Oryza sativa Japonica Group: one gene and its partners. The protein of the gene in region 3 binds, or shares a complex with, the protein of the main gene of each other region. Links are inferred from orthologs where the notes say so. Each region holds a gene or a part of one and is shown on either strand. Other genes may lie near its edges.

What was found. Proteins that work in one complex are often made in the same cells at the same time.
Region 1: SNW/SKI-interacting protein A-like (region 3) and heterogeneous nuclear ribonucleoprotein 1 share a complex: the UniProt entries of both Arabidopsis thaliana proteins name them as parts of the spliceosome. The link is inferred for Oryza sativa Japonica Group from reciprocal best matches to the Arabidopsis thaliana genes SKIP and AT4G14300.
Region 2: SNW/SKI-interacting protein A-like (region 3) and U1 small nuclear ribonucleoprotein 70 kDa share a complex: the UniProt entries of both Arabidopsis thaliana proteins name them as parts of the spliceosome. The link is inferred for Oryza sativa Japonica Group from reciprocal best matches to the Arabidopsis thaliana genes SKIP and U1-70K.

What each region holds. Positions count from the first base shown.
Region 1 is NC_089044.1:18,095,530-18,100,340, forward strand, and holds heterogeneous nuclear ribonucleoprotein 1, read left to right. Parts: upstream 1-2,032; 5' UTR 2,033-2,147; coding exon 2,148-2,369; intron 2,370-2,446; coding exon 2,447-3,619; 3' UTR 3,620-4,041; downstream 4,042-4,811. UniProt on the Arabidopsis thaliana protein: Involved with pre-mRNA processing. Forms complexes (ribonucleosomes) with at least 20 other different hnRNP and heterogeneous nuclear RNA in the nucleus.
Region 2 is NC_089044.1:1,015,409-1,020,611, forward strand, and holds the start of U1 small nuclear ribonucleoprotein 70 kDa, read right to left. Parts: upstream 3,071-5,203; 5' UTR 2,987-3,070; coding exon 2,885-2,986; intron 2,785-2,884; coding exon 2,670-2,784; intron 2,510-2,669; coding exon 2,430-2,509; intron 1,717-2,429; coding exon 1,641-1,716; intron 1,560-1,640; coding exon 1,495-1,559; intron 1,396-1,494; coding exon 1,333-1,395; intron 1-1,332. UniProt on the Arabidopsis thaliana protein: Mediates the splicing of pre-mRNA by binding to the loop I region of U1-snRNA.
Region 3 is NC_089036.1:32,489,964-32,495,076, reverse strand, and holds SNW/SKI-interacting protein A-like, read left to right. Parts: upstream 1-2,079; 5' UTR 2,080-2,180; coding exon 2,181-4,004; 3' UTR 4,005-4,436; downstream 4,437-5,113. Other genes in the region: protein CURVATURE THYLAKOID 1D, chloroplastic, read right to left, coding at 1-194, 279-426. UniProt on the Arabidopsis thaliana protein: Splicing factor involved in post-transcriptional regulation of circadian clock and flowering time genes. Associates with the pre-mRNA of PRR7, PRR9, ELF3 and GI, and is necessary for the regulation of their alternative splicing and mRNA maturation.

The sequences.
Region 1 (4,811 bases), on a different chromosome or scaffold from region 3:
GATTCTTCCAATGCGCGAACTTTGATCAGGTATGCTTCATCTATTCGAAGTTCAAATGGATAAAAAAACTAACTTCTTCGTACACAATTGTAACATCTTACGCAGACATATCGTCCAATGTGCAACTTCATCGAGTGGGTAGACATGGAGAACCCACAAAACGACGGAACCCGTGCTTACCCACGTAGTGAAACAAGATCGGACTACCTAAGGTGGAAGGATGAGCATGAACGTCGAATTGCTGCTGAGGCTTTAGAATGGCACGTAAATCCCCTAGGACTCCCCACGTGGCGTGAGCGTCCGGAGTGTCGTTGTGGTGACCGTTGTCAGGTCATAAGGTCCGTAAGGCACCGAACTCGAGGACAAAGGTGTTTCGTGTGTCCAAACATTGTCGACGATGATTTCGTGGTAATTACAACTATTCTTTTCATCACTCCTCAGTACTATCATTAACTTAACTATCCCATAATGGATGTACATAGGAGGATGTAAGGAAATGTCAATTCGTACAATGGATTGACACAGTCAGAGTTACTTCAAGTGGCGGGCTGATAACGCAACCTGAACCGACCATACAGTTCATTCATGTTTGGATGGAGTACGAACGTTGGGTGGAAATTGCAAGCTTAGACTGGAGGACCAATCCATTAGGGTTACCTAAATGGTCCGAGCGTCCAAAGTGTGGGTGCAGAGATCGCTGGCAGGTGGCTACATCCTTTGCTGAACAAACATTTCGAAGGAGATATTTTGTCTGCCCCAATGTAGACAACGATTTCGTTGTATGTCTAACCATTTACAAAATCCGCTATGATTTGCACAAAATTACTACCCAAACTGAATAACATTACTATTTTTACAGGGCAATCCAAGGATGGGTGGATTTACTCGATGGATCGACAATGTCACTCCATCATATCATGGCCAGAAGATAACATAGTCAGAAACACAAGTAGAGTATCAACGATTGAAGGACCACGAGAATGCAATGCATTCTGACCGACCTAGAAGGTGCCGATAGGTTACCGCATGCTTGATTCGTCGGGATCGACAAATTTGTACCGTGTATCGATGGCACTTCTTATCTATCTTATCATTACAATGTTTAATTATGGTGGTGATTTTTTGTATGCGTAAGACTAAGGGCCTATTTGGATTGCTACCAAAAACATGCCCTACCAATATTTTGGTAATTTGAATAGTACTTGTGTTTGATTTCGATTGAAGCCTATTCATTGGTAATACGTAATCTAGATTTGAGATTATGTAGAACATTCTTCACTACAATTTTACATTTTGGCAGCAAACCAAATATGATCAAATGCAATTTTACCTTACCAAATATTTGGTAGTGCCAAAACTTGCTTATATTTTGGCACTAACAAAATATTTGTACGGTAACATTCCAAATAGGCCCTAAAAAATAATAAAATTGTATTTTACCAGTCTTGGAGATTTTAATCTTGTATAGTTTTCAATATAAAAAGATTTGATAACTATTGATATTTATAAAAAATATAAAGCACAGTATAAATTCGCCCTCCCCCAGGGCGGCAAGGGGGCCGCCTGCAAAATTCCAGGCCCCCCGCCGCCCATTTGCAGGCGGCCCCCCGCACAGTACAAAATCGCCCTAGCGGAGGGCGGCAAGGGGGCCGCCTACAAATTTCGTTGACGGCCGTCGCCCGAGAGCGAACGGCCGTCTGCCACGTCACTTTCGCCGCCCTCTGGGATGGCGATTTTTAAAAATCGCCCTCCCAGAGGGCGGTAGGCGACCACTTCTGTCAATTTTCAAAATGAAAAATTATTTTTTGTAAAACTTTTAATAAAAAAAATTAAAAATAAAAAAAATTCGAGTTCCTACAAGCTCGCACCAAATTCGGCCCATAGAAAGAACAAAAAAAAAAAACCCCAAAAAAGAAGCCCACAGAGAAGAACAAAAATAACCCGTCTCCCCCACGTCCCCACCCCCCACACGACGCGCCCTAAAATATCCCCAAACCCTCCAAATCTCCGCCCCCCACCTCCCCTCCCCGACGCCGAAATCCCCCAAATTCCACCCCCGCCTCCTCCTCCTCCTCGCGTCGCGAGAGAATCCGAGGCGCGCGAGCGAGAGGAAGGAGAGAAGGTGAGAGCAGCGGCGGAGGGAGGAGATGGAGTCGGATCAGGGGAAGCTGTTCATCGGCGGCATCTCGTGGGAGACCACCGAGGAGAAGCTCCGCGACCACTTCGCCGCCTACGGCGACGTCTCCCAGGCCGCCGTCATGCGCGACAAGCTCACCGGCCGCCCCCGCGGCTTCGGCTTCGTCGTCTTCTCCGACCCTTCCTCCGTCGACGCCGCCCTCGTCGACCCCCACACCCTCGACGGCCGCACGGTATCCCCTCTCAAACCCTAGCGAATATTCGCGTTGGATTCCCTCCTCTCAAGGTTCGGTTCGGTTCGGTTTCGTAGGTTGATGTGAAGCGGGCGCTCTCGCGGGAGGAGCAGCAGGCCGCGAAGGCGGCGAACCCTAGCGCGGGGGGGAGGCACGCCTCCGGTGGGGGCGGTGGTGGGGGAGGCGCCGGTGGTGGTGGTGGTGGCGGCGGTGGTGACGCCGGCGGTGCGCGGACGAAGAAGATCTTCGTCGGCGGGCTGCCCTCCAACCTGACGGAGGACGAGTTCCGGCAGTACTTCCAGACCTACGGGGTCGTCACCGACGTCGTCGTCATGTACGACCAGAACACGCAGCGGCCGAGGGGGTTCGGGTTCATCACCTTCGACGCGGAGGACGCCGTTGACCGCGTGCTGCACAAGACCTTCCATGACCTGAGCGGGAAGATGGTGGAGGTGAAGCGCGCCCTGCCCAGGGAGGCCAACCCTGGCTCCGGCAGTGGTGGCCGTTCCATGGGAGGCGGCGGTGGGGGTTACCAGAGTAACAATGGGCCGAACTCCAATTCTGGGGGCTATGATAGCAGAGGTGACGCTAGCAGGTATGGTCAGGCGCAGCAGGGTAGTGGTGGTTATCCCGGTTATGGTGCTGGAGGATATGGTGCTGGTACGGTTGGTTATGGATATGGGCATGCTAACCCTGGAACTGCGTATGGGAATTATGGGGCTGGAGGATTTGGAGGTGTTCCTGCTGGGTATGGTGGGCATTATGGCAATCCAAATGCGCCTGGTTCAGGTTACCAGGGTGGTCCTCCAGGAGCAAACAGAGGACCATGGGGTGGTCAAGCTCCGTCTGGTTATGGCACTGGGAGTTATGGTGGCAATGCAGGCTATGCTGCTTGGAACAACTCTTCTGCTGGAGGTAATGCACCCACTAGTCAGGCCGCTGGTGCAGGCACAGGCTATGGGAGCCAGGGCTATGGATATGGTGGATATGGAGGAGATGCATCGTATGGTAATCATGGTGGATATGGGGGTTATGGAGGAAGGGGAGATGGTGCTGGCAATCCAGCTGCTGGCGGTGGATCTGGGTATGGTGCTGGCTATGGAAGCGGGAATGGCGGTTCTGGTTATCCAAATGCTTGGGCTGATCCTTCACAAGGTGGAGGGTTTGGGGCTTCAGTCAATGGAGTGTCTGAAGGCCAATCAAATTATGGCAGTGGTTATGGTGGTGTGCAACCTAGGGTTGCTCAGTAAATGAGGCCATTAGAGCATCTATGAGATGAACCAGCAAAATTGGGCAGTCTATGTATGTTGTGTTACCCTGGCCCCTCTGATTGCTTTTGGCCTCTTGAAGATCTCCCATTTGCTGGTTAAATCAGTATTTCTCCGGGTTGGAATGCTTGAACCTTTTGCGGCTTACTACTAGAATGTAGTCAATAACTAGCTTCTAGCTATACTATGGAGTAGCTGTATCTTGCGTAATGCTTTATTTAAGTTTAGCCTTATCTGTCGGTGTGCTTTGTCATGAGTGGAATTTCAGTTGCTTCGTCTCTAGTTTAAAGCTAGAGTAGCTTCACTACTTATGGACAACAAACTATCTAGTTGTACCTTTATTCTACAGAATCATATGTTTGTGGTTGACAGTAGTATTTATGCTGGATTGTGCTTTACCTGAATCTGAAATGTTCTATCTTTGGTTGTTTCTCTGTGGTGTGCTCTAGCTCACCTTGCAGTTAAGGTGCTGTTGCGTATTATTCCATTAATATTGATTGTAACAGATGACAATCCTCAAACTTCTATGCAGTGATAGAGGTGTTTTATACTGTAGCTGCTTCTAGCAGTAAGTTCAGGTGTAGTGCAAGTGCTTTTCATGTCATTGGAATGATATATCATTAAAGTATGTGGTCGAGCTATGAGTATGTTTCTGATATTTGGTATGTAGATGGATAAACAAGCATAGTAGAGGCAAACAATTAGCCCCTACCTGAAGCAATAAGAGCATATTAGCAGCAAGTTGGTAGCGCCAATTTCTAAGGTAGTATAGATACAGAGAAGTCTGTGATACTACTTGATGAATGAAATACAGGTAGAAACCATAGAGTAGAATACTCCAGGCATTTGGCAAGCAAAATAATCATCCTTCCTCGTACATTTCCTTTCTGTACAGGTTGGATGCGATGCCATTTCCTTTTAGAGCATGTCCAAGTGGGGCCTTTTGAATCAACTGCCTGGCTGCCTGAGAAATGGCAGAGACATCGACTGATTTTGCTTGATGGGCTGACGATTTCCAATCTTGAAGCATTTGACACAGAAAGCAAGCATCTTGTTTTTAAGCGCTTCATTTTCTGAAGGATCTTGTGCTGTGCAACAAGATGGTGGTATGTGGAATCATGTTTCACTTTCAGTTTTATTTGGAAAAGAAAAGCATTTTCACCATGGTACTTGT
Region 2 (5,203 bases), on a different chromosome or scaffold from region 3:
AGAAAAGAAGATGGTGGTGGACTAAATACAATACCCATTTACCCTCTCCATTGCATATAGTTCGTTCAGCCTTCGTCGGTAAGACCATCAAAATAGACAACGGTTACATAAATGGAGGTGACAAATAGCAAGTCAGTGATGTCTATTCCTTACGCTGTTACGCATCAGAAAATGGAGCCATCTTCAACTCTAAAAGTTGAGATGTCATTTGCATTATATTTTGCTGTTGTTTCCTCCAAGAGAAGCAGCACTTGAAAGCAGAACTAGCTTTAACAGCTCAGGGAAAGTAACATAAACACTGTACTCACCAGCAACCTAATAAATCCCAGAATGTAGAAACCCCATGCCTGCAGATAAGCTGCTTTTAAAAGCATAAAGTGATCTAAGCTTACTTGTGCCATCGCCAACATTCTTCAAGCTTGTTTGCTCCAGTTAATACACACGAGAAGCAAGTTCATAGAATGGGAAAACAAATGATACATTGTGCCTACTGCAGAAGCAAATGGTTTGATCTTTTCCGAGAGTAAAAGGGAAAAGATGTTCTAAGAAAAAAAAACATCAAGGCTGCATGCAGTAAAAATACCTGCTTGTGTGTATTTGTATTTCCCAGGATTTTTTAGTCTTCTAATGGTTGTACCAACCATTCGCACATTAAATTGCTCAACAGTAACTCAGATAATATGTCTAACAAAAATTACCAGAAGACATAATTTCTGCTGGAGCTCTATATTACTTATCCACTAAGTACATCAACAGAGCCCACATGTTTAGAAATGGATAACAAAGAAAAGACTGTCCGAACCACCCAAACCAATACATGTCAATACAAGATAAAAGTGTTATTTAAATAATTTGAGAAGATTATTTGGTTATTTTCTCCTTGGTTTAGCAAAATGCAACCAACATCATTATTGAGAAGCAAACAGCAAATGCATGCTTACACACAAAACAGTGAATGTATTGCCCAACTTGAAAATGAGAGTGCTATGAATACTGTTTGACAAAAACAAGAAGTTATTTTTGTTTGCTGCAAAAAAAAAGACTTGACAGAATAACTTATTTTTGTTCTTTACAAAAAAGAAGACTTCACAGCATTTTGTTTGATTTAGAAACAAATACTACAGACAATTCTGCCCATTGAAAATCGGAGAGAGATAGAAGATATCCCTTTCATCCTTTAGCACCTTGTTGTGAAATTCCAAGTAAGCAATATATAATGGCAGTGAACCAGCTTTTTCTTAAAACATGTTTTTGTAGATGAATTAGAACAACCAAACACCTTACCAAAGAGGAATAAGTCCACCTGCACTGGAATTTACCACATGTACTTACCCTTTTAATAGGCCCATAAGCTTCAAACTCCCGCTTGACCCTATGCTCAGACGTCTCATAGTTCTGTAAACGTTTGCTGGAGTCAATAGGAAGTAACATACAAAAATAATACCAACTATGTAGTTCAAAATAATTTGTGAATGATGCAACAAAAAAACTTACAAGTCTTGCAACAAAGAGTGTTTTGTATGGATCTCCAGTGGCATTGGGGTCACTCTGTGGGTCATCTACATTAAGAAACCACACCAATGATGTTATCAGTATCTATCATATGATACAAAGGGAAGAGCAGCTAAGAAAGAACTTACATTTCTGAAGCTCTTCAGCCACCTTAGCCGCACCTTGGTCAAGCTTACTTTTGCGGATCCTATCCTTCTTTTCAGCCTGCGTAAATAAAACATAATCACCAAGTCATGACCTGGAATGATGAAATGACAATAGGCACGAATAATACAGTAGATCTAGAAACAATAACAGACATGGAAAAAAAAAGAGTAAAGCCAGTAGTGCCAACAAAAAGCTGCGTATTTGACATAGTCACATACAATTACCAGAAGAAGAATTTTGGCAAACAAATGTTTGGACAGCTACACATGTCTTATTTTGAGAGAGTTTTCATGTGGTGAAAGTGGAAATATTCATCTCAGAGGTGGGAACATTTGACTCCAACTCTTACCTCGCAATTTCAGGTAGAACTTATTGGACCTAATTTTCCTGTGCTGACTATAGTGGAACAATGCTCAAACAGTCAAATTGTGAGTGACTTTCCAGCAGGTGTAGTCATAGAAGCTCACATACTAATACTAACAGTCTTAAGAAATCCTGATTGTTCAGAGACCAGCAAGCGTTCTGACACCATTACAAATAATTGATTTTGTCGATTGAAAAAAGCAACTATATGGTTGTGGAAACTATGCAATATGGTTATGGCCACACGAAAAGTATACCATTGGCATAAATACGACATGGTCACGACAACATAAGAAGTAGGAACATCTTGCACTACGGAGACATAAAACAAAATGCAACACTAACGATTGCGCTTCAAACGAGTTAAAATTGATACAGAAAACAAATTTGCAGCAGTATCAGTATACCTTGGTCTCGCATGTGGGGACGGGTGGCGCGTACTCAGGGTCACCGGGCTCCGCAAACTGCGACACGAACTGCGCCATCCCTGCAACCAACCAATCAACAACAAGAGTGAGTCCATCCATCAGGAAGCAACTCATCCACAAAATAAATCTAACAGACAAAATTAAAAGAAAAAAATATATTCATAATCCCCCTAGAACCGAACAGATAGAATAGAAGATGAGGCGGGTGAGGGAATATACCAGTGTAGGCCGGCAACTTGCGCTTCTCGACGGGCGGCTTGAAGTCGAGCGGCGGGCGGGGCTCGAAGAGCTTGAGCAGGTTGGGGGTGAGGCCCGTCGGGTGTCCCTGCCCCATCTGTGGTCGCGAGCCATGGAGAGAGATCTCAGATCGAGGCGGATCCGGAGAGGAGCTAGGGTTATAGCAGCTAGGGTTTAGGGGGGGGGTGGGGGCTTACCAGCTTGAGCTGCTGCACGTTGACGCGCTGGCCCTTGGTGCGGGACTGCATCCCGCCGCCGTCCGGGTTCCCCCGCATCATCCCGCTGCCGTAGTCGCCCATGGCCGCGGCGCCGGCGGTGGCGGCGGCGGCGCGAGGAGAGAGAGAGAGAGAGAAGCGAGAGGGATTTGCGATTCGCGAAGCGTTGGGGGATCTCTCTTTCTCTCTCTCGGGATATTAGGGGAGGAGAGAGAGAAGTAAAAAGAGGGGGAAGCCGAGACGGAAGAATTTTATGTGGGGCCCACACGTCAGCGCCCTCTCGCACGGGCCCATGCGTCGGTGACTTAGTGTATGCTTTTGCTGCCTGAGCGTTGCAGGGATCTTTGCTGCCGCTATTGAATCACGGGGGCTATAATCGTGTGTCACATTTTTTATAAATAGTAAAATGCCCGTGCTAACGCTACGGCGATATTTGATGATGCAAATCCCTTCTCTACTATTATAAAAATTGAAGATGTTTTCGTTAGAATTTTGGTACATCATCTGTATTGGAATAGGTTTTAATTTTATGTTTCTATTAAATCATACGCGTACGAAGTAATTAGGCATGCACCTTTTTACGTGCCCCTTGCCGCTTGCAGACCTGCGCCTGAGTTCATTTTCCACATACGCCTCTGTGCTCCTCTGCGATTGGGCCCGCAACACCCTCACGCGTGATTTTTCGCATGCCTGATTGGGCCCGTGACGTCCTCTTAAATCTACCCTATTAGCATATAAGCACTTTAAGGGAAAAAAAACGAGATTCCCACTTGATTTAATCTTTGGTAAAAAAAATACAAATTCCTACTTGATTTGATCTTATCAGGCCTTTATTTACCTGCATGATATCATCAGGCTTCCATTTACCTATATCTTCTTCAAGTTTATTGGACAACCTGATTGCAATTAAACGGCATATATTTTAGTTGTGGTAATTAAGAATTAACATTTAGTTACCAAACGTCCATCATTGATATTATTTGGATGCAAATCGACGCACATACCTCATGAGCACATGGGAATGAGGATATGAAGAGGAGCGCTGCTATAGACCTAGGGATGAAATGCTCCAATAACAAATGGTATAAGCACAGCAGAGCCATAATATATAGAACTGGCCATCGTTCCATTTTACTGCCTAACGATAGGTTGAAGGCTAGCAAGCCAAGGAAGGCTATATACCTCTCAGTTCTGACAACTACCTTTTCATGAACTCGTGGGCTTTTTTAAGCTAAACCTCAGAAGACAATAGGGAAAGCCTGTTTTTCATCTAAGAATAAAAGACTTGGCCTATTATTTTAGAAAAATTGGACCAAAAAACTCACAAACACTTGCCCATGAACCTGTCGGCTAAATATTGTAGTGTAAACTTATCTGCTGCAAGCAGCTTTGGAGTAAATCTACCCTATCCTAAACCTTTCTTACATGCATATTGTTAGTTTGTACCAAGCACAAGAAAATAAATCACTCACTTTAAAACCATCTCAAAATTACATATATGCCCACTTTCATCCATTAAAGGCATAGCTGCAACTTATAAATCTGAACTGTACATATATGTGTCAACCATGAGTTTACAATCGAAAGGGGAAAGAATGGAAAAACAGTTAGAAGAGATTATGCCCCAGCCTTGCTTCCATTGGCTCTGCACTGATCGAATAATCGCATCCTACCTTGCCATTCTGCACTGATTTCTCTTGACAACTGCACTTCATTTAGCAAAACCATGAAATGGAGCATGTTCCTGTCAGCCTGCTAAATAGAAACAACCAGCTTCTTTTGTTAATGAGTGGCTTCCAAGCTTAACTTGTTTTGCTAAACTTTTGAAGCAAATCATGCTAGCTTATGGTACACCACAAATTGATATACCAGATCAGTGATGATCAATAATGCTATTTGCTTTTTAAACAGATAAATATGACCATAAGTAACAGAGAAATGCAGTTGTTTTATATTTCTTTTTTCCCCACAAATTTGTTGCTTGGTAATCACTATTAATTGGAAGCACCGTATAACTCAAAAGCAGAGGTCATCTCTCTTGAAGCAGCTCCTCTTAATGGCGAAAAACTATGTCAAGAGAAATGAGTACAGATCAGTGGTGCTGCATTTGAATTCCTCTGCAATGGCAATAGTCCAGAAAAAACATCAATTTCAAAGATATTTAAAGAAATCGAGGGCAACATTAGTCTGCATTGGGTTGGTAAGATCCGTCCGCTAGATTGGTTCTGGAAGCAAGCAATGATGCTCTGTTAGCAACTGTACTTTGGAACGTTGGGTCATGCATTTATGGAAAATGGGAGA
Region 3 (5,113 bases):
CCCCGACGACACCGGCGCCGCCGCCACGGTCTCCAGAGACCCGCCATTAGAGACCGCCGCGACCTCCTCGCTCTTCTCCTCCGCCGGCGGCGGATCGGGCTTGTCCTCCGTGACGACGACGGTGGACGCCGACGCCGACGCGGGCTCCTCCGATGGCACCGGGTCCGGCGCCGCCGCGCTCGCGCACCGCCATCCTGGCGACAACCATCACCAACAGCAAAACCGTCAGAAAGATAATCAATCAATCAATCAAAAAAAATCGTGGCGCGTTCGGGCACCTCGAGTCGGGAGGTGGCGGTTGCTGCGGCGGAGGGTGGCGGCGGCGGCGACGGCGGGAGGAGCAGCGCGGCGGTGGTGGAAGGAGGAGGCGAAGCATAAGGGGGCGGTGGCGCGCGCGGAGGCGACGGTGGAGACGAAGAGCTCCATTTTTTTTTTCTCTTCCTCGGCTTTCTGTGGAGGCCCGAGAAGGCTGGGGGTTTGAGGTTTTTGTGAGCTGGGAGGAGGATGAGGGTGGTGGTGGGCTAGTGGCTCAGTGAGACTGTGCGAGTGAGCTGTGCACTACTACTACTTGTGCTGATGCTGTCCGAATTTTTCTTTTCTTTTTCTTTTTCTTCTCTTTTTTCACACACCCTGATTTTTTGTTTGTGCTTTTGGAGGGTGACATGTGGCGCTTTCTCTTTTGCTCGCTCCTTTTCTCTGAGTACCACCTGTGTGTGTGGTGTGGTTTCGCATTCTTTGGATGGATCTACTTTCATTTTCATTCTTCTTTTTCTGGTACAATTATACTCCCTGTAACTGTAGTCCTGTACCATGCAATTTAACTGTAGCATAATTCGTATTCTAGAAGATTTTGGCCTGTTAAAATACAAACAAATTGATAGTGTCCGTAGTACATGTGGAGTAGTATGTGCTGCCCATTTAGATCGAGTTGTCTGGGTACTTCCACGCCACCATTTTTTCCAAGTCCATAAAATATTTTCTATTTATTTTAGTACGGCAGATTTTCATTCGCTAGCCAACCATAGAACTGACACATTACATAGGCACTTTCTCTTTTTCCTGGGATAATACATTAACATTTGGGGTAACATTTTCTAGTGGACCAAAAATTTTGTCGGCTGGTAACACGGCCTTTGAGAAGGCCCAGTACTGCAGGTATACCATTCCGTCCGGTCTCCAGCCCGCTTCCTTACGTTGTACTTAGTAGGATAATTTGGGCTGGCACAGTAAGTAGGCCTAGCATTTTCACCGACCACGCGCGTGGGCCTGGCTGGGTGGTGACAATGTGTGTCATGTGGAGCCCAAATTGGCAGATTAAACTCGTGTTAGCAAGCGAAATTAATGGGCCCACTTGTCAGTCTCATTTATTCTCGTTAAACAAACAGGCAAACATTCCGAGCCGTTAATACCGTAGCCTCGTTACTCGTTACTCACTCCGTCCAAAAAAAAATAAATCTAAAATATAGAATGTGACATATCCTAGTAGAACGAATCTGGACATATGTATGTCCAGATTTATTGTACTAGGAAGTACTATGTTGGTTTTTTATGAGACGGAGGGAGTAGCCATTACCCGTGCAGACAAGCATGGCTCCGTTCGAGCAGGAGAGATTGCTGGGAGATTGAGGAGAAAACATCTACTTTTCTACGCGCACACTTCCCAAACTACTAAACGATGCGTTTTTGGCAAAAAAAAATTCTTTTGAAAAGTTGTTTTAAAAAATCATATTAATCTATTTTTAAAACTTACAATAGTTAATACTCAATTAATAATACACTAATGGCTCACCTCACCTTATTTTGCGTATCTTCTCAATCCCCTCTTTCCTATCCTCTCAGGATTCAACCCAGTTATCATCATCACCAGTATTAATAGTTTCCAGCCCAAGGAATTATTTTGTTTCGGACTAGAAGTCTCAGACACGATGGTATTTGCTTCGGATTGGCTAAGGATTTGGTGCATATTTATCGGCCCAGCCCAAATTCTTATCGGGCCTAGCCCATCCGGTAGCCGCCATAACCCCACCGGCCACCGTGGTCAGCTTCTCTTATCGCGTTGCCCAAATAATTACACGAATCGAACCAAACCCTAGCTTTTCCTCTTCGATTCCCGATCCCCCACCCAGCGACTCGCCGGAACCCTAGCCCTAGATCCCGCGCGGCTTGCCGCCGTGCTAGCCATGGCGTCCCTCAAGGAGCTCCTCCCGACGCCCAAGGCGGCGGCGTCGACGTTCTACGACCACAGCAGCGACCCGTGGTTCAAGGAGCGGTATGGCGGGGAGTCGGCGCAATCCGACGCGGCGGCGGCGGCGGCGAAGCCTTCGGGCCCCGCCAAGCCCGTGCCGCCGTACGGGAAGCGTGGCGGGTTCGTGCCGCGGCGGCCGGAGGACTTCGGGGACGGCGGCGCCTTCCCGGAGATCCACGTCGCGCAGTACCCGCTCGGCATGGGCCGGCGCGACGAGAAGGGCGGCTCGAAGATCCTCGCGCTCACCGTCGACGCCAAGGGCAGCGTCGCCTTCGACGCCGTCGTGAAGCAGGGTGAGAACGCCTCTAAGATCGTTTACTCAAAGCACAGCGACCTCGTGCCCAAGATTGCCACGGCTGATTCCGAGGCAACCGCGGACGACGAGGAGTACCAGAAACAGATCGAAGAAACCACTGAACGAACTAAAGCTGCCTTGGAGAAGGTTGTCAATGTTCGGCTCTCCGCCGCACAGCCCAAGAATGTGCCGACGCATGATTCAGAGTCAAAGTTTATCAAGTATAAGCCATCGCAGCAATCGGCAGCCTTCAATTCAGGTGCCAAGGAGAGGATTATTAGGATGTCAGAGATGGCTCAGGATCCTCTTGAGCCACCGAAATTCAAGCATAAGCGAGTGCCCCGCGCTTCTGGATCACCGCCTGTCCCAGTGATGCACTCGCCACCACGGCCAGTGACAGTGAAGGACCAGCAAGATTGGAAGATTCCACCATGCATTTCAAATTGGAAAAATCCAAAGGGTTACACCATACCACTCGACAAGAGGTTGGCAGCTGATGGAAGGGGGCTGCAGGAGGTTCAAATTAATGATAACTTTGCAAAGCTCTCTGAAGCACTGTATGTGGCGGAGCAGAAGGCCAGGGAGGCAGTACAGATGCGATCCAAGGTGCAGAGGGAGCTGCAGCTGAAGGAGAAGGAGAGGAAGGAGCAAGAGCTAAGGGCACTTGCACAGAAGGCGCGCATGGAGAGGACTGGTGCCCCACCTGCACCTACAGGGGTTCCTGCTGGTGGTGGTAGAGGTGCTGTTGATGACAGGGAGGAAGATATGGATTTGGAGCAGCCTCGTGAGCAACGAAGGGAGAGTAGAGAAGAAAGGGAAGCAAGGATTGAGCGTGACAGGATTCGTGAGGAGAGGAGACGTGAGAGGGAGAGAGAGAGGAGGCTGGAGGCCAGGGATGCTGCAATGGGCAAGAAGAGTAAGCTCACTAGAGACAGGGATCGTGATGTCAGTGAGAAGATTGCCCTGGGCATGGCAAGCACTGGCGGTGCTAAAGGTGGGGAAGTCATGTATGACCAGAGGTTGTTCAACCAGGATAAAGGAATGGACTCTGGGTTTGCTACAGATGATCAGTATAACATCTACTCCAAGGGTCTCTTCACAGCGCAGCCAACGCTATCCACACTTTACAGGCCTAAGAAGGACGGTGATTCTGATGTGTATGGCGATGCAGATGAACAACTGGAGAAGGTTATGAAGACAGATAGGTTCAAACCAGACAAAGGATTTTCTGGTGCTTCAGAGAGGTCTGGAAAGAGAGACAGACCTGTGGAGTTTGATAAACAGGAGGAGAATGATCCCTTCGGTCTTGATCAGTTCTTGACTGAAGTGAAGAAGGGGAAGAAAGCTGTTGAGAAGATTGGAAGCGGAGGAGCCATGAGGGCAAGTGGTGGATCCTCAATGAGAGATGATTACGAGGGTGGAGGATCTGGGAGGTCCCGCATTAACTTTGAAAGAGGTCGTTGAGGTATTAGATCTGCATGTTTTGTTCAGAAGTTTCTCCATGCATTCCAAATGTTATCTGGAGGGTATTCTGTTGAGAATATCAACTTCTTGATGAGAGGACTTGATGTCTGAGTTGTCTTAATGCAACGTCTACTTCCAAGGGGCATCTTAAGGAGTGTACCTGTTTAGATCCTGTGATTATGCTTGTTGTTTATCTATTTGTGGATGGATCTGTAAGCTTAACTTATCATCATTCCATATCCCTTATATTTTGTGGTGCTTTATGAAGTCTCGATGTGTCTGGCTGACCTTACATTTTCTGGTACTGTACCAAGTCTTTAAGATGTATCTGCCTATCTGGCTGAAATACTGAGACACGGGATACATATAAATTCCGTGTTCTGTTTTTTCACAAGTTCTAATTATTTCATGCTACCATGATTGTTGGCTGGATGGATTTCTGGGTATTGCCAATATCGGTATGTTGTTTTGGGGATATTCATGTTTTGTGCAAATAGTGAATTCTTCGAAAATTTTTTGTCGGTAAGCATTTTCTGTTGCAAGACTTTGCCGGAGCATTCCCTTTGCTTGCAGTTGATGTGGTTTCTGTAGTACCAACTTTCGGATTAAATAACTTCTCTTTTGTGATTATTACTGGTAAGATCATGGCATAATTTTAAAACACTATCCATCCTAAAATAAATAAACTTAATACATGATATGATATATCTTAGTATTAGAATCTGAACAGATACACACTTTCAGTTTGTTTTGTCTTTTCCTTTAGTTATGTAGATTCAGCCATAGTGTTGTGTTTTTCTTCAGGTATGCAGATTCAGCTATAGGAAATTAGGAACACAGTGAAGAGGAAAGTTTTCATTAGCACGTTTTCTTGTGTGAAGCGCAAATAACAGGATTTTGGTGTTCTTTGATTTTGGCCAAAATCTTCATGGCATGGATGGAATTTTCTCAAAGCTGAAAACCGTAATTTTCTGACGGGCTGAGCAAATTACGCTGGCTGATAACTCCGGCCTGCTTAATGCCTAGGCCCAAACGAAGCAGCCGAGCAACCTTGAGGTTCCATCGGCACCCCTGTTCGGCTACAAAAAGCACCTCACTTTCTTCCTTGC